3 linked regions of the Canis lupus familiaris genome follow. The protein of the gene in region 1 purifies or fractionates together with the protein of each later gene. This does not show direct contact. Links are inferred from orthologs where the notes say so. Each region holds a gene or a part of one and is shown on either strand. Other genes may lie near its edges.

Region 1 (4,221 bases):
GGTAAGGAAGAAGCTGTACATGTTTTCCATTCCAGCCTCACCAGAAACCCTGGTCCTACAAGTCTCGTAGAGGGATCTATTCCAGACCAGAATTAATGAGGACTTGTGAGAAAAAAAATTTTTTTCAAAGAAGTTTGGTGTCACCTTGAGGAGCTCCACAGCAAAATATGAGCCAACGTGTGTGTGCGTGCGTGCATGCGTGCAGGTGTGTGCAGGTGTGTGCACGCACACATTTCTTTAGAAACTTGATTTACTAGAATGTTCAAGTCTCAGCTTGATATTTACTGATTTTTTAGAGAAATTCTTTTTTTGCTGGGCATTGAAGTGGGGGATAGTTCCTATTAATTCCTATTAAGAATAGGATCCCATCTCATTTTCTCAGCAGGAACAGGGATGTTACCTGCATCAGGCTGCTGAGCAGAGAAGGGCGGGGCAGGGCTGAGCGGGGAAGCCACTGGACACCTGGGTCCAACCAGCCTCCGCTGCTCCCAGAACGGGGATGCAAACAGCTTCGCTGAGGTTTGGCTCCAACAGTTATGACACAAGGATAATTGTCTCCTGCTGGGGTTGTTCGTTGTGAAGACTAACTGAGGTATTGGGTTTACAGAACACTCTAACACCCATCCATCCATCCATCCGTCTATCACCTATCTATCCATCTATCATCGATCATCTATCTGGCCACATTAATTATCTACGGGAAAGACAAAAGAAGCCAGCAACAAGGACTGTCCCTGAGAAGGGGGAGTTGCGATGTCTTTTACTCGGTGCATGTATTGCCTAAGCATGTGTGATCTTTCTATTTTCTTAAATTAGGTGCTAGGATGACAGAAACATGGAGTTCAACAAATGTCAGTTCCCTTCTCTCTCTCTCTCTCTGTCTTTTTTTTTTTTTTTAAGATTTTATTTATTTATTCATGAGAGACACAGAGAGAGGCAGAGACACAGGCAGAGGGAGAAGCAGGCTCCATGCAGGGAGCCCGACGTGGGACTTGATTCCAAGTCCCCAGGACCATGCCCTGGGCGGAAGGCAGACGCCCAACCACTGAGCCATCCAGGGATCCCCTCCCTTCTCACTATCTTCTCCACTAACTACCCAAAAGGTACAGATTTTGTCATGTGGGAAATCCGGCCTTCTCTGAGACTTCCCCGTGGTCCGCTCTAACTGCAGACGGTATAACACCTCCCAGAAATTGAGTGAGTACAACTGAACATATAAAGAGATGAGAGCAAGGGCGCCTGGGGGGCTGAGTCAGTTAAGCATCTGACTCTTGATTTCCACTCAGGTCATGATCTCGAGGTCCTGGGACTGAGCCCGGCTTGGGGCTCTGGGCTCAGTGGGGACTCTGCTTCTCCCTCTCTCCCTCCCCTTCTGCCCCTCCACCCACTCACATACACTCTGTGTCTCTCTCAAATTAGTAATACATCTTTTAAAAAGTGGTTAAATTGTTAAATGCTGTGTTATGTAAAAATAAATAAATGTTGTGTTACGTATATTCTATCACAATAATATATATTTTTTAAGATTTTATTTATTTACTTGAAAGAGAGAATGAGCAAGCAAGAGAGAGCATGAGCGGAGGAAAGGGCACAAGGAGAGGGAGAAGCAGACTTCCTGCTGAGCAGGGAGCCCAACGCAGGGCTCCATCCCAGGACCCCAGGATCATGCAAGACCTGAGCTGAAGGCAGATGCTTAACCAACTAAGCCACCCAGGCGCCCCTCAATAAAAACATTTTTTAAAGAACAAAAAGGAAAATAGATTTACCATGTTTTCATTCTTGGGTATTTATCTTGGAGGAACAAAAACTTATTTTATGCTGAAACTTGTACGTGAATGTGCATAGCAGCTTTATTTATACTAGCCCTGAACTGGAAACAACTAAAATATCCCTTGATCGGTGAGTGGTTAAACAGACCAGTACATCTGTACCGTGGAATACTATCCAGCAATAAAAAGATACGAACTACTGATACTTGCAATAATTGGGATGACTCTCAAATAAATTATGCTGCGTGAAAAAAGCCGATCTCAAAAGCACGCATATTGCTTGAGTGCATGTACGCGGCCTTTGTGAAATAACGTACTGCTGGGTATGAAGGAGGGATTAACGTCTTCTAGGGGTTGAGGAGGACATGGGTGGCGAGGAATGGCTGAGGGCATCTTGCTGCAATGGTTCAGATCAGGATTTTGATTGCAGTAGTGGTTACAGTAGGGCACACATGTTAATAAACTGTACACACTACACTTCTACGCACATAAATGAGCACCCAGACAGCTGATGACCCCTGAATAAGCTCCAGGTACCCCAATGTCAACTTCCAGGTTTTGGTATCGAACTACAGTTACGTAAGATGTTACCGCCGGCGGAGGCTGGGTGAAGTGGACGCAGCACCTCCCGGCATGGCTCTTCACACCTCTCTGTGCATCCACACTTATTTTAAAATAAGGGTTTTTCTAGAGAAACTCTCCATATGCTATCTCACTTGATCCCCACTATGGGAAGTGAATAATATGATTATTCACATTTTATTGAAAAGAAAAACCAGGCCCACGGGAGAACCTGCTGATTGAAGATTACATGGCTAAAAACAAGCAAAATCACCTCCTCCTTGTGGGTATTGATGTATTTATAGAAGTATTTATAAGTACGGAAAGGTTTAGGGAAGCCAATAAAGAAATCAAGGTGTTCTATAGAGAGCAAATTTGCAAAACAAGCCAAGCCCTTTATCCTCCCACAACTTACGGAAGACTTGAAGGTTGTAGCGCCTGGTGGTGGTGACCATCCCTTCAAGGATCTTTGTATTTATGTCGGCTTTGTAGATGCCTGAGTCTTCCATCCTCAGATTGCTGATCTCCAGGTTGTAGTTCTGACGTGAGACATTTATTCGGTCGTTGTAATTTTGGTGGGTCACAGTCACTTTGGGTGCTGTTTCTGAGTCTCCCGGTGTTACAAAAGCAACGGACGTTTCAGAGTTCCAAACAATGTTGATGACTTGCTGTGATTCTTGGATATTTAAGGGAAAAGTAACCGACTCCCCCAGAGTCCCAATGACCGTGAGGATGTCTGTGTCACCTCTGGCTGCTTCCAGACCTGGGGACATAAATGAAAACCATAGCCTTTCATGGTTGCACCTTTTAGAGTTTCCTGTCTCCCCAAGCTTGAGCTTCCCTGAAGAGCTGCCCCAGATGCAGCTCATCCAGGTTCTGGAGGGGTTTTTTTGGTTTTGTTTTTGGATTTTTTTGGTATTCTACTCTACACATAATATGTTATGATGGCTAAATTTCTAAAGGATTATCATTCAAAAATGAAGTTTCCAGTGAATTTCAAGGGAACTGTTTCATTAAAACCATTTTATCTAGACTTATAGACTGAAAGGTAAGGGATTAGAGGGAAGAAGACCATAAACCTCCAGGAGGTTGGAGAATTAAATGTGGTTTTTTTCCCAAGATCATATTGTCAAGGGATGGAAGAGCTGGGACAAGAGCCTGGCTGCTGTGGTCTTTGCAAAAAGAAAGCTACATTTATACCTTTATTCTTGGGAGATACAGGCAGAGTGTGTTAGAGGCTCTGGAAAAAAAAAATATTTCTCAAGTTGGTAATTTGGAGGTCTTTTTTGTTCACTACTCTATCTCCAGCCTCTAGATGAATACATGACACGTAGTGGGTGCTTAGTAAATATTTGGGGAATGGATTAATAAATGGAATTCACTTATGTGTTGCCTGGAAACTCTTAGAACAACTTCTGAAGTAAGCAAAATTCATTTATTCATTCATACATTTTATAAATGAATGCATGGGTTTATTCAAGGTCAGCTCTGTCTCAAATACTATGGCAGGTAATTAGTAATTAAATTTATTTATTTTTTTTAAGATTTTATTTATTTATGACAGACACACAGAGAGAGAGAGAGGCAAAGACACAGGCAGAGGGGGAGGCAGGCTCCATGCAGGGAGCCCGATGGGGGACTCGAGATCCTGGGTCTCCAGGATCACACCCTGGGTGGAAAGCAGGCACTAAACCGCTGAGCCACTGGGGCTGCCCTAGTAATTAAGTTTATAATAGATATGTTTGCTGAGCGTCTACTCTTTTAAGTGCGATGTAAGGAGCTGGGGGATACAGTATATTGAGATTGTATGTTGTATTGATATAAAGTTGATATATTGATATTTATCAGCTGATATATATCAAAATTAATATTTAAAGTCCCTGCTCTCTGG
Region 2 (4,321 bases), about 1.5 Mb from region 1:
ATTAATTACTTAATTAATAATAAGTAGACAGTTTGGTTGCTCAGAAAGGCCTTAGAGGAAACAAGGAGATGTTGTTCAAAGGGTATAAACTTCCAGTTACAAGATGAATAAGTTCTAGGGAATCTAATGTACAGCATGGTGATTACGGTTAATAATACTATATTGTATAATTGAAAGTTGTTAAGAGAGTGGATATTAAGTGTTCTCACCACAAAAAGGAAATGGTATTTACGGGACAAGATGGAGGTGTTGGTAGTGGTGTGGTGGTAATCATTTTGCAACGTATAAATGTATCAAAGCAATGCATTGTACACCCTAAACTCACACAATGTTATATGTCAATTATCCCTCAATAAAGCTGAGGGGGAAAAGGCCTTAGAAATTAGTCTTTTGTAAGAGGTGGGGCACGTAGGTTGCATCTGTTGGTTAAGCATCTGACTCTTGGTTCAGCTCAGGTTGTGATCTCAGGGTCATGAGATGGAGCCCTGCGTTGGCTCCTCCCTCAGTGTGGTATCTGCTTGGGATTCTCTCTCCCTCTCCCTCTGCACTTTCTGCACATGCTCTTTCTCTCTCTCTCTTTCTCAAATAAATAAATCTTAAGAAAATTACTCTTAGGGCTAACTCTGACCTTCAGATGACAGAAGGCCCCTTTCCCAAGTATATCATCTAATCAAGGTAGAAAAGGCTCAGAAAGAAAAGAAGGAAGGAAGGGAGGAAGGAAGGAAGGAAGGAAGGAAGGAAGGAAGGAAGGAAGGAAGGAAGGAAGGAAGGAAGGAAGGGAGGGAGGAAGGAAGGGAGGAAAGAAGAAAGAAAAAAGGGTTTCTCATCAATACCAGCCTGTCTAAAGAGGGCTCAGTGTCTCTGCTGGATAAACTTTTCTTGGTCTTTCTTCCTGGTCTTCACATCACTGTGGTCCTCCAAAATGGAAGTTTCAAAGTCTCAAGGATAGTCAACCAAGGTTACTATATTCTTTTCTTCCACCTAGAGATGCATCCCTGAACTAATTGTGCCTACTCAGATGTCCCTCCCACCTGCACCAGCTCCTTCCCCAGAAAGCATAATGCTGGAAAATGTCCACAGCAGCCTTTCTTCATCAATGGCTAGGAGGCTCAACCAGGGACGGGCTGTCCCCCCCCCACCGTGTTCAATTGCTTTCCATTCCCACTGACATCTTCCATTTTTCATGCATTTGACCCGTGCACATCCTACTCAACTGTTCCATTACATCTGGACGTACCTGGGCTCATTCAGCGTCTGAACACTTTTTGAGCACCTGTTACGATCCTAGCCTAGCATTATCATAGGCAGCTTCAGCAGGAAATAGGCATCTGTCACAGCAAAAGGTAGCGGCGTGCTCCCTGAAAGGAACATCGGCAGCCAGAGAGGGTGAAAATGGGTGATCTAGGGTGTTATACAGGGTTGCAACCCACTTCTAGGGAGCTCAGCTTCAGCACCGCAGCCCCAGACATGAAACATCACCGAGTAGACTGTACTCAACCTGCTTTCACATACTTCTGAGTCACACTACGGTCACTTAAGGCTGAAGTGTGTGGTCACTTCATCACCCCACCCCTCTCATTTCCTGAATCTTGTGAAACTGTTTTGAGTCCTGCAGAGCCGCCTCGTCTCACTCCTACCAGCTGGCGGAAGAATCGCCTCCAGACCCCGTGAGGCCCCTTCCTCCAGTTCCATCCTTGGAGCTGACCCGGGGCTTGGGCATGGATTACAGGGATATCCGAAGGCTCCCCACGGATCTGCCCTATTACCATGGCCCTCTGTCCAAGAAAGACTGTGAGACCCTGCTGCTCAAGGATGGGATAGATGGCAACTTCCTGCTAAGGGACAGCGAGTCTTTGCCAGGAGTTCTGTGCCTCTGCGTCTCGTGAGTAGTTTTATCTTTCACACCTCAGAACCTTACCCTGAATGCGGTGCTGATACAGCCAAATACCAAAGAAATTGCATTTCACTCTGCCCTTGTGGCCCAAATGAGCAGAACGTGAACAAGGTGGGCAGTGCTTAAAGAGCCTGCAAGGAGAGTGTCTGTCCCAGGTCCTCCACCTGCCCTTCTCTCCCTGGTGCAAATGCCACCCCAGCAGCCCCTCTGCAGCAGCAGGGGTGGGGGTGGCAGTGAAGGGAAGGGCTGCGGAGACCTGGAGGAGAGGTGGATACAGGGAAGGTGTATAGAGGATGGCTTATTTGCTCTGGAAAAGGCTAGATGTCCTTTATGAAATTTTAATCTGAGAGACTTGAGTGTTCACATTTTTCTGCGGGCTCCACTTGGGATACTTAAAATACGATTTCAAATTTTGTTAAGGTTGGTACAGAGCCTCAGCATGCATCATATCCTTTCGTCCTTCCTATAGCCTATCAAGGCCAGCATGAGCATTTTCTAGGTGAAGAATCAGAGACCCTGATTTCTCAACCAAGTTGCTCATATTAAAAAAATTCTCCTGGCATTTCCAAAGAGTTCAGCATGAAATTCTAGTAGCTCGCCTGCTGAAGGAGCTTGTTAGTCCCGTTAAGGAAACAATCCTGGACAGGTATTCATGGGAACCTACTATCTTAAAATGTTCTGTTTAGAGAGATCACTGAAATTTTTCTTCTAGCAACTAGAGGAATAAAAACCCAAATGTGTCTACGCATATGCATTAGTGTTTCTGAGTGTGAGGACAAAAGAGATTTAATACTGACGAAATAGCAGAGATCTCTTTTTTTTTCCTTATATGATACCAAGGATGCAGGTAAAAGAAAGGTAGCCTTAAGAGGGTTAGCAGTTTGAATTCTCACTCTCAGGGATGAAGAGAAAGTTTACACGTATTTTTTAGCCACTGGTAATTCCTCTTTTGAGAATTGCACAGTCACCTTCTTCACCCATTTTTAGCTTGAGTTGTTTCTCTTCTGTTTACTGTTTTTTTGTTTTTCCTCCTAGTTTCTATTTAGGAAGGTAAAATATTTTTTTTTCCTAAGGACACGGACACAAAAGAAAACTATAGACCAATTTCAATTAAGATCCATTTTCAATAAACTGCTAACAAAACAGGAGCCAGTAACACATTAAGGAAGAAAATACACTAAGTTCAAGTTTGGTCCATTCCAAGAAGTCAAGGACGGTTCCACATTGGGTAAATTAGTAGCTTAATTACATATTAGTAGATCAAAGTTGACAAACTGCATAACTCACTCAAATGTGCTTAAAAGGTATTAGATAAAATTCAACATTCATCCCTTAATACACACACATACACATGCACACATGTACTTACATATTCTTAGTGATGCAAGATTAATTAAATATTATCTAATTAATATCTAATTATCTTAATTTCTTAATATTTGCTGCTAAAATAATGAATGAGCCAATGACACTCATTACCAACACTACTATGGAGCATTTTCTGAGAGATATGGGCAAGTGTTATTAGCCAAAGGAAATCAACGTAAAATTGAAAAGAAAGACACAAAATTATTATTATTTGCAGTTGACATGACTTCATCCCTGTGAAATCTAAGATTTAATTGAAAAAACCCTAAAAAGCAAATTTAAGAAAATTCAATAACAGTATCTGCTTATAAAATTGAAATCAAAATCATAGCTTCTTAATTAAGAAAAAAAAATAGCTAGAAAAAAAAATAAAAGTAACCAGGAAGAAAAAAAAAGTAACCAGGAAGAAAATATGATAAAACAGGTAATTTACATTAGTAAAAATAAAAATAAAAATAAAATAATAATAATAATACCCAGGGTTAAATGTGATGTGAAATGTGGAAGGTGGAAGATCTGTCTGAGAAAACTTCAGAATCTACTGAGGAATTCACTAGAAGATGTACATCAAATCAGAGACTCAATTTAGAAGCATATCAGCTTACCATAATTAATCTATAAATCTGGTATGTTTCCAGTAAAAAAAAATCAACAGAATTTTTAAAGTTTTCTTCAAGAATCATAAAATGCATTCAGGTGGGATGTGGAATGCAGGAAACTTGCTAGAATAGCCAAAAAAGTTTTTTATTTAAAAAAGGGGACTAGAGGCACCTGGCTGGCTTAGTCAGGGGAACATCTGACTCTTGATCTCGGGGGTTGTGGGTGTGGAGACTACTTAAAAATAAAATCTTAAGAAAAGGGAGGAACTAGCTCTAGCAAATATTTAAAAACATTGTAAAATGACTGATTTCTACAGTAATTGAGTGTTTGGTACTGAGGCTCCTGGCTGACTCAGCTGGAGGAGCGTGTGATTCTTGATCTTGAGGTCATCAGTTTGAGCTCCATGTTGGGTGCAGAGATACTTAAGTAAATAGAAACTTCAAAAAAAAAAAAAAAAAG
Region 3 (4,272 bases), on another chromosome or scaffold:
AAATGTAGAAGACCATCCAGCTTCAAGCATTAAAGTCTTATTCCAGTGAAAAAGGGGGAAGTTTTGGGGAAATATTACTTAACAGCACATTTTAAAATGGAAGCAATGTTTTATTTCAGAGAAGAAAATAAAAATTGAAAGGCTTTAAAAAATTAATGATAGTTTAGCATCAACTGGAGGAAAAACACTCTATTAACGACAGAGGATAAAATTATTGACGCTTGTGATGTGATTTAAAGCAACTTTTATGCCCCAAATGCTGAAAGGTAGGTCCTGTACATCAAAGGGCATAAACAAGTCCACATAAAGACAAAGCACCGGGATCCCTGGGTGGTGCAGCGGTTTGGCGCCTGCCTTTGGCCCAGGGCGGGCGATCCGGGAGACCCTGGATCGAATCCCACATCGGGCTCCCGGTGCACGGAGCCTGCTTCTCCCTCTGCCTATGTCTCTGCCTCTCTCTCTCTCTCTGTGTGTGACTATCATAAATAAATAAAAATTTAAAAAAAAAAAAAGACAAAGCACCAATGAAATGATGCTTTCTCTCATCGAAAGCTCATCAAATAAAAAAAAAATGGAACGTCTTCACACATAGACTGATTTTTGTTCGTCAATCAGCACTCTGGGATCTTGGCCAAGAAAGTAGGAAAAATCAGTGTTTACTCAGGATCAAGATTGCTCAAGATGACTAGGAAGAGTAGAAAAGGAGACTTGCCCCATGTTGGTTTTTCACTGACTACTTCTGATTGTGTAGGAGCCTCTGGCTGTGCTCAGGAATGACTGCACACTGATAGTTCTGGTAGTTTCTGTGTTTTGGTCTCAGAGCTTTAGGTTCTTTCATTCTCTGTCAGCATGTTTCTGCCCCACAAGAAGGCCATGTACACCTTGCCTCTATCATCAACCCTTTTGGGAACTTAGTTAAGCTAAGTCATCTCTGGTGGCCCCTGGGAAAACTGTAAGAGTGGAAGCATTAGCAAGCATTCCTGTCTGTGTGCCAGAGTCTGCCCTGGTAGTACAGTCCATATCTTGCCAGGACATTCTTCCAATTGACCTCCCTTCTCCTTCCGAACCCTGTGTGTAGGGTGGGGTAGGGTAGGGCGGGGAGGGGGATTGAACCTTGTGGCAATAACCAAGCTTCTAAATTGCTGAGCTGGTTTTAATTGAAGTGTGAGAAGGAGGTTTTAAGGCAGAGAGACAACATCCTGTTGTTCGGGTTCGGGTGCTCCTCTCTCTTTTTCTGCACATCTGGCTGAACTGGGAGTCAGGTGGCTGACTCCGGGCCCGGTTGCAGCAGCAGTGGCATCTGCCCTCCACTGTCCCACGCCTCAGCGGCCCAAGAGTCCACCAGGCCATGGACGCGGTAGCCGTGTACCATGGCAAAATCAGCCGGGAGACCGGGGAGAAGCTCCTGCTTGCCACGGGGCTGGATGGCAGCTATTTGCTGAGAGACAGCGAGAGCGTCCCTGGCGTGTACTGCCTGTGTGTGCTGTGAGTATGTCGCGGTGGCCGCAGGCTCCAGGCCCCATGAGGGCACCGGCCGGGGGTGCAGGCTCATGTGAGGCGTTGAGGCCTCCTCCACGGCTCATGTGACGGCGCCAAGGCCTTCCCACGGTCCAGCTTAGGGGGTCGTGCTTTGAGGCCCCTCATGGGGCTTTCACTCCCAGGGCCTTCACTCTCCAGAAGGGCCTCCCTGGGTCTTTTGTGGCAGCTGCAGAGAATGCCCTTTGGGGTGGGGAAACGCAGCCTAGAATCTACCTTTGCTCTGAGAAAGATCCAGGCTCCCAACTTCCAGTTTTGACCTTTAGTCGAGGCCAGCTAGGTGGAGCCTTGGCATGGTGGACTGGCCAAAACTGGGGCCACCAGCTCCTGAGGAAAGGAAAGACCTCTCTCCAGATCCCTTTAAATGGAATTGGAGGTGTCCTCCCAAAGGAAACCATCACATTCTGGGAGAGGAAGAAGACTGAGAAACGGAATCCGTGACTTTAGGAGTGCAATTCTGGTTAGGTCGGGGTGCCAATCGGGGTATTTGTAAGTGAAACTGCCTCTTGGCATCTGCTTACTTCGCTTCTTTGAGAGAAGCTGTGTGTGGGGGCAGAGAGTTTCAGAGGTAGGACCCTTCTTGATAAAAAGCTAGGACTGACAGTAGTGGTAAAGGGCATGGAGGGAAAACACCCTTGTTATGATTCAGCTTTGCCGCTTGCCTAGGCATGCCTTAGTCTAACACCCATTTTAAATCAGATGTACCTTCATCTTTGCCTCAAGGGCTCCGAGTCAGGGAGATCTGAGACCTAATCCTGTGCTAGTCTGATGGCAGGCTTGTGACCTTGGCAAGTTGAACTCTCAGTCCTTCAGTTTTCTTGTCCATAAAATGAGTATAATAATACGACCTACCTCATAGGATGGCGAGGATCAAATGCAGGTAAAGAATTTAACACTGGACTTGACACATCATAAATGTCCAGTAAATGTAAGCTATTATCATTATTATTGTATTTTTCTCCAGTTGAGTTCTTTCAGTACTCATGGCACATTTCCAAGGAAGGACCTAGCTTGATCACTTTGTGTCACATGTGAAACACCTGTGCTGTGTAGTCGGTTCTAGTCAGAAACAAAATGAAGGAAAATGCTTGGTAGTAATTTTGATACCTAATGATACACTGCAAGATTGTGAAGTACTTTTTGGGTCCGTGAAAAAAGATCATGCTGAGGCTGTTATTAGATGATTTTCGTTTATTTTGTTTATTTATTTTTTTAACATGGTCAGGCCAAGTTTGTGGCAACTCTCAGGCCTTGCTAAGTACATTTATTATAAAGACTTCAAGAGAACATGTGGAAGCACTTGACTCTCTTGGGCTCGGATCTTTTTTTTCCTTTTGCAGTACAGTTGTCATACAGCGTTATATTAGTTTCCAGTGTACAGCATAGTGATTTGACAGTTCTACACACTACAAAATGCTCACCACGGCAAGTGTAGTCACCATTTGTCACCATACAAAGTTATTACAGTGTTGTTGATTATATCCCCTAGGTTATACCCTTCATCTTTGTGACTTATTTATTTTATAACCAGGAGTGGGGTGAGGTGGGGCGGCGGGGGTACAGATTGAACCTGTGTCAATAACCAAGCTTCTAAATTGCTGAGCTTGTTTTAATTGAAGTGTGAGAAGGTACTAGAAATTTGGACCTCTTAATTCCCTTCACCTATTTTGCCCATCCCCTCACCATCCCTCTCCCCTCTGGCAACCACCAGTTTGTTCTCTCTCTGTATTTAAGAGTATGTTTGTTTATTTTCTTTTTTAGATTCTGCATGTAAGTGAAATCATAAGATATGATATCATATGGTATTTGTCTTTCTCTGACTGACTTATTTCACTAGTCTCTAGCTTCACCCATGTCATTGCAAATGGCAGGATTTCATTTTTATGGCTGAGTAATATTCCTTTCTATATATTATACCACCTCTTCTTTATCCATTCATCTGTTTTTTAAAAATAACTTGTGTTTTTTTGTTTTTGTTTTTAAAGATTTTTATTTATTTATTCATGAGAGACACAGAGAGAGGGAGGCAGAAACACAGGCAGAGGGAGAAGTAGGCTCCTTGCAGGGAGCCTGATGCGGGACTTGATCCCAGGACTCCAGGATCACATCCTGAGCTGAAGGCAGGCCCTAAACCACTGAGCCACCCAGGGATCCCTCCATTCATCTGTTGACGGACACTTGGATTGCTTCCATATCTTGGCTATTGTAAATAATAGTGCAATAAACATAGGGTGCATGTATTTTTTTGAGTTAGTGTTTTTGTTTTCTTGGTGTCAATGCCCAGTAGTAGAATTACTGGATCATGGTATTTCTATTCCAACTTTTTTAAGGAACCTCCACATTGTTTTTTTTTTAAAAGACTTTATTTATTCATGAGAGACACAGACAAAGAGAGAGACAGAGACACAGGCAGAGGGAGAAGCAGGCTCCATGCAGAGAGCCTGATGTAGGGACTCGATCCCGGGACTCCAGGATCATGCCCTGAGCCGAAGGCAGGCTCTAAACCACTGAGCTATCCAGGGATCCCTCCACACTGTTTTCCATAGTTGTTGCACCAATTTACAGTCCTACCAAAAGTGCAAGAGGGTTCCCTTTTCTCCACATCCTTGCTGACACTTGTTACTTATTGTCTTTTTGATACTAGTCTTGGGCTCAGATCTTTATGATTTGCTTACGTTATTTTTTTCCCAAGTGGAAACTTGGGAAGGTCAGTGAAAGCCGCCTAGTATTCTTGGG

What was found.
Region 2: the proteins of CD84 (region 1) and SH2D1B purify together in Homo sapiens (affinity purification with western blotting; 3 studies listed by BioGRID and IntAct, with this or other methods). This does not show direct contact. The link is inferred for Canis lupus familiaris from reciprocal best matches to the Homo sapiens genes CD84 and SH2D1B.
Region 3: the proteins of CD84 (region 1) and SH2D1A purify together in Homo sapiens (affinity purification with western blotting; 4 studies listed by BioGRID and IntAct, with this or other methods). This does not show direct contact. The link is inferred for Canis lupus familiaris from reciprocal best matches to the Homo sapiens genes CD84 and SH2D1A.

What each region holds. Positions count from the first base shown.
Region 1 is NC_049259.1:22,540,303-22,544,523, reverse strand, and holds part of CD84 (SLAM family member 5), read right to left. Parts: intron 3,094-4,221; coding exon 2,746-3,093; intron 1,198-2,745; exon of another isoform or gene 954-1,197; intron 1-953. UniProt on the Homo sapiens protein: Self-ligand receptor of the signaling lymphocytic activation molecule (SLAM) family.
Region 2 is NC_049259.1:21,004,340-21,008,660, forward strand, and holds the start of SH2D1B (SH2 domain-containing protein 1B), read left to right. Parts: upstream 1-1,597; 5' UTR 1,598-1,718; coding exon 1,719-1,882; intron 1,883-4,321. UniProt on the Homo sapiens protein: Cytoplasmic adapter regulating receptors of the signaling lymphocytic activation molecule (SLAM) family such as CD84, SLAMF1, LY9 and CD244. In SLAM signaling seems to cooperate with SH2D1A/SAP.
Region 3 is NC_049260.1:96,500,581-96,504,852, forward strand, and holds the start of SH2D1A (SH2 domain-containing protein 1A), read left to right. Parts: upstream 1-1,151; 5' UTR 1,152-1,348; coding exon 1,349-1,485; intron 1,486-4,272.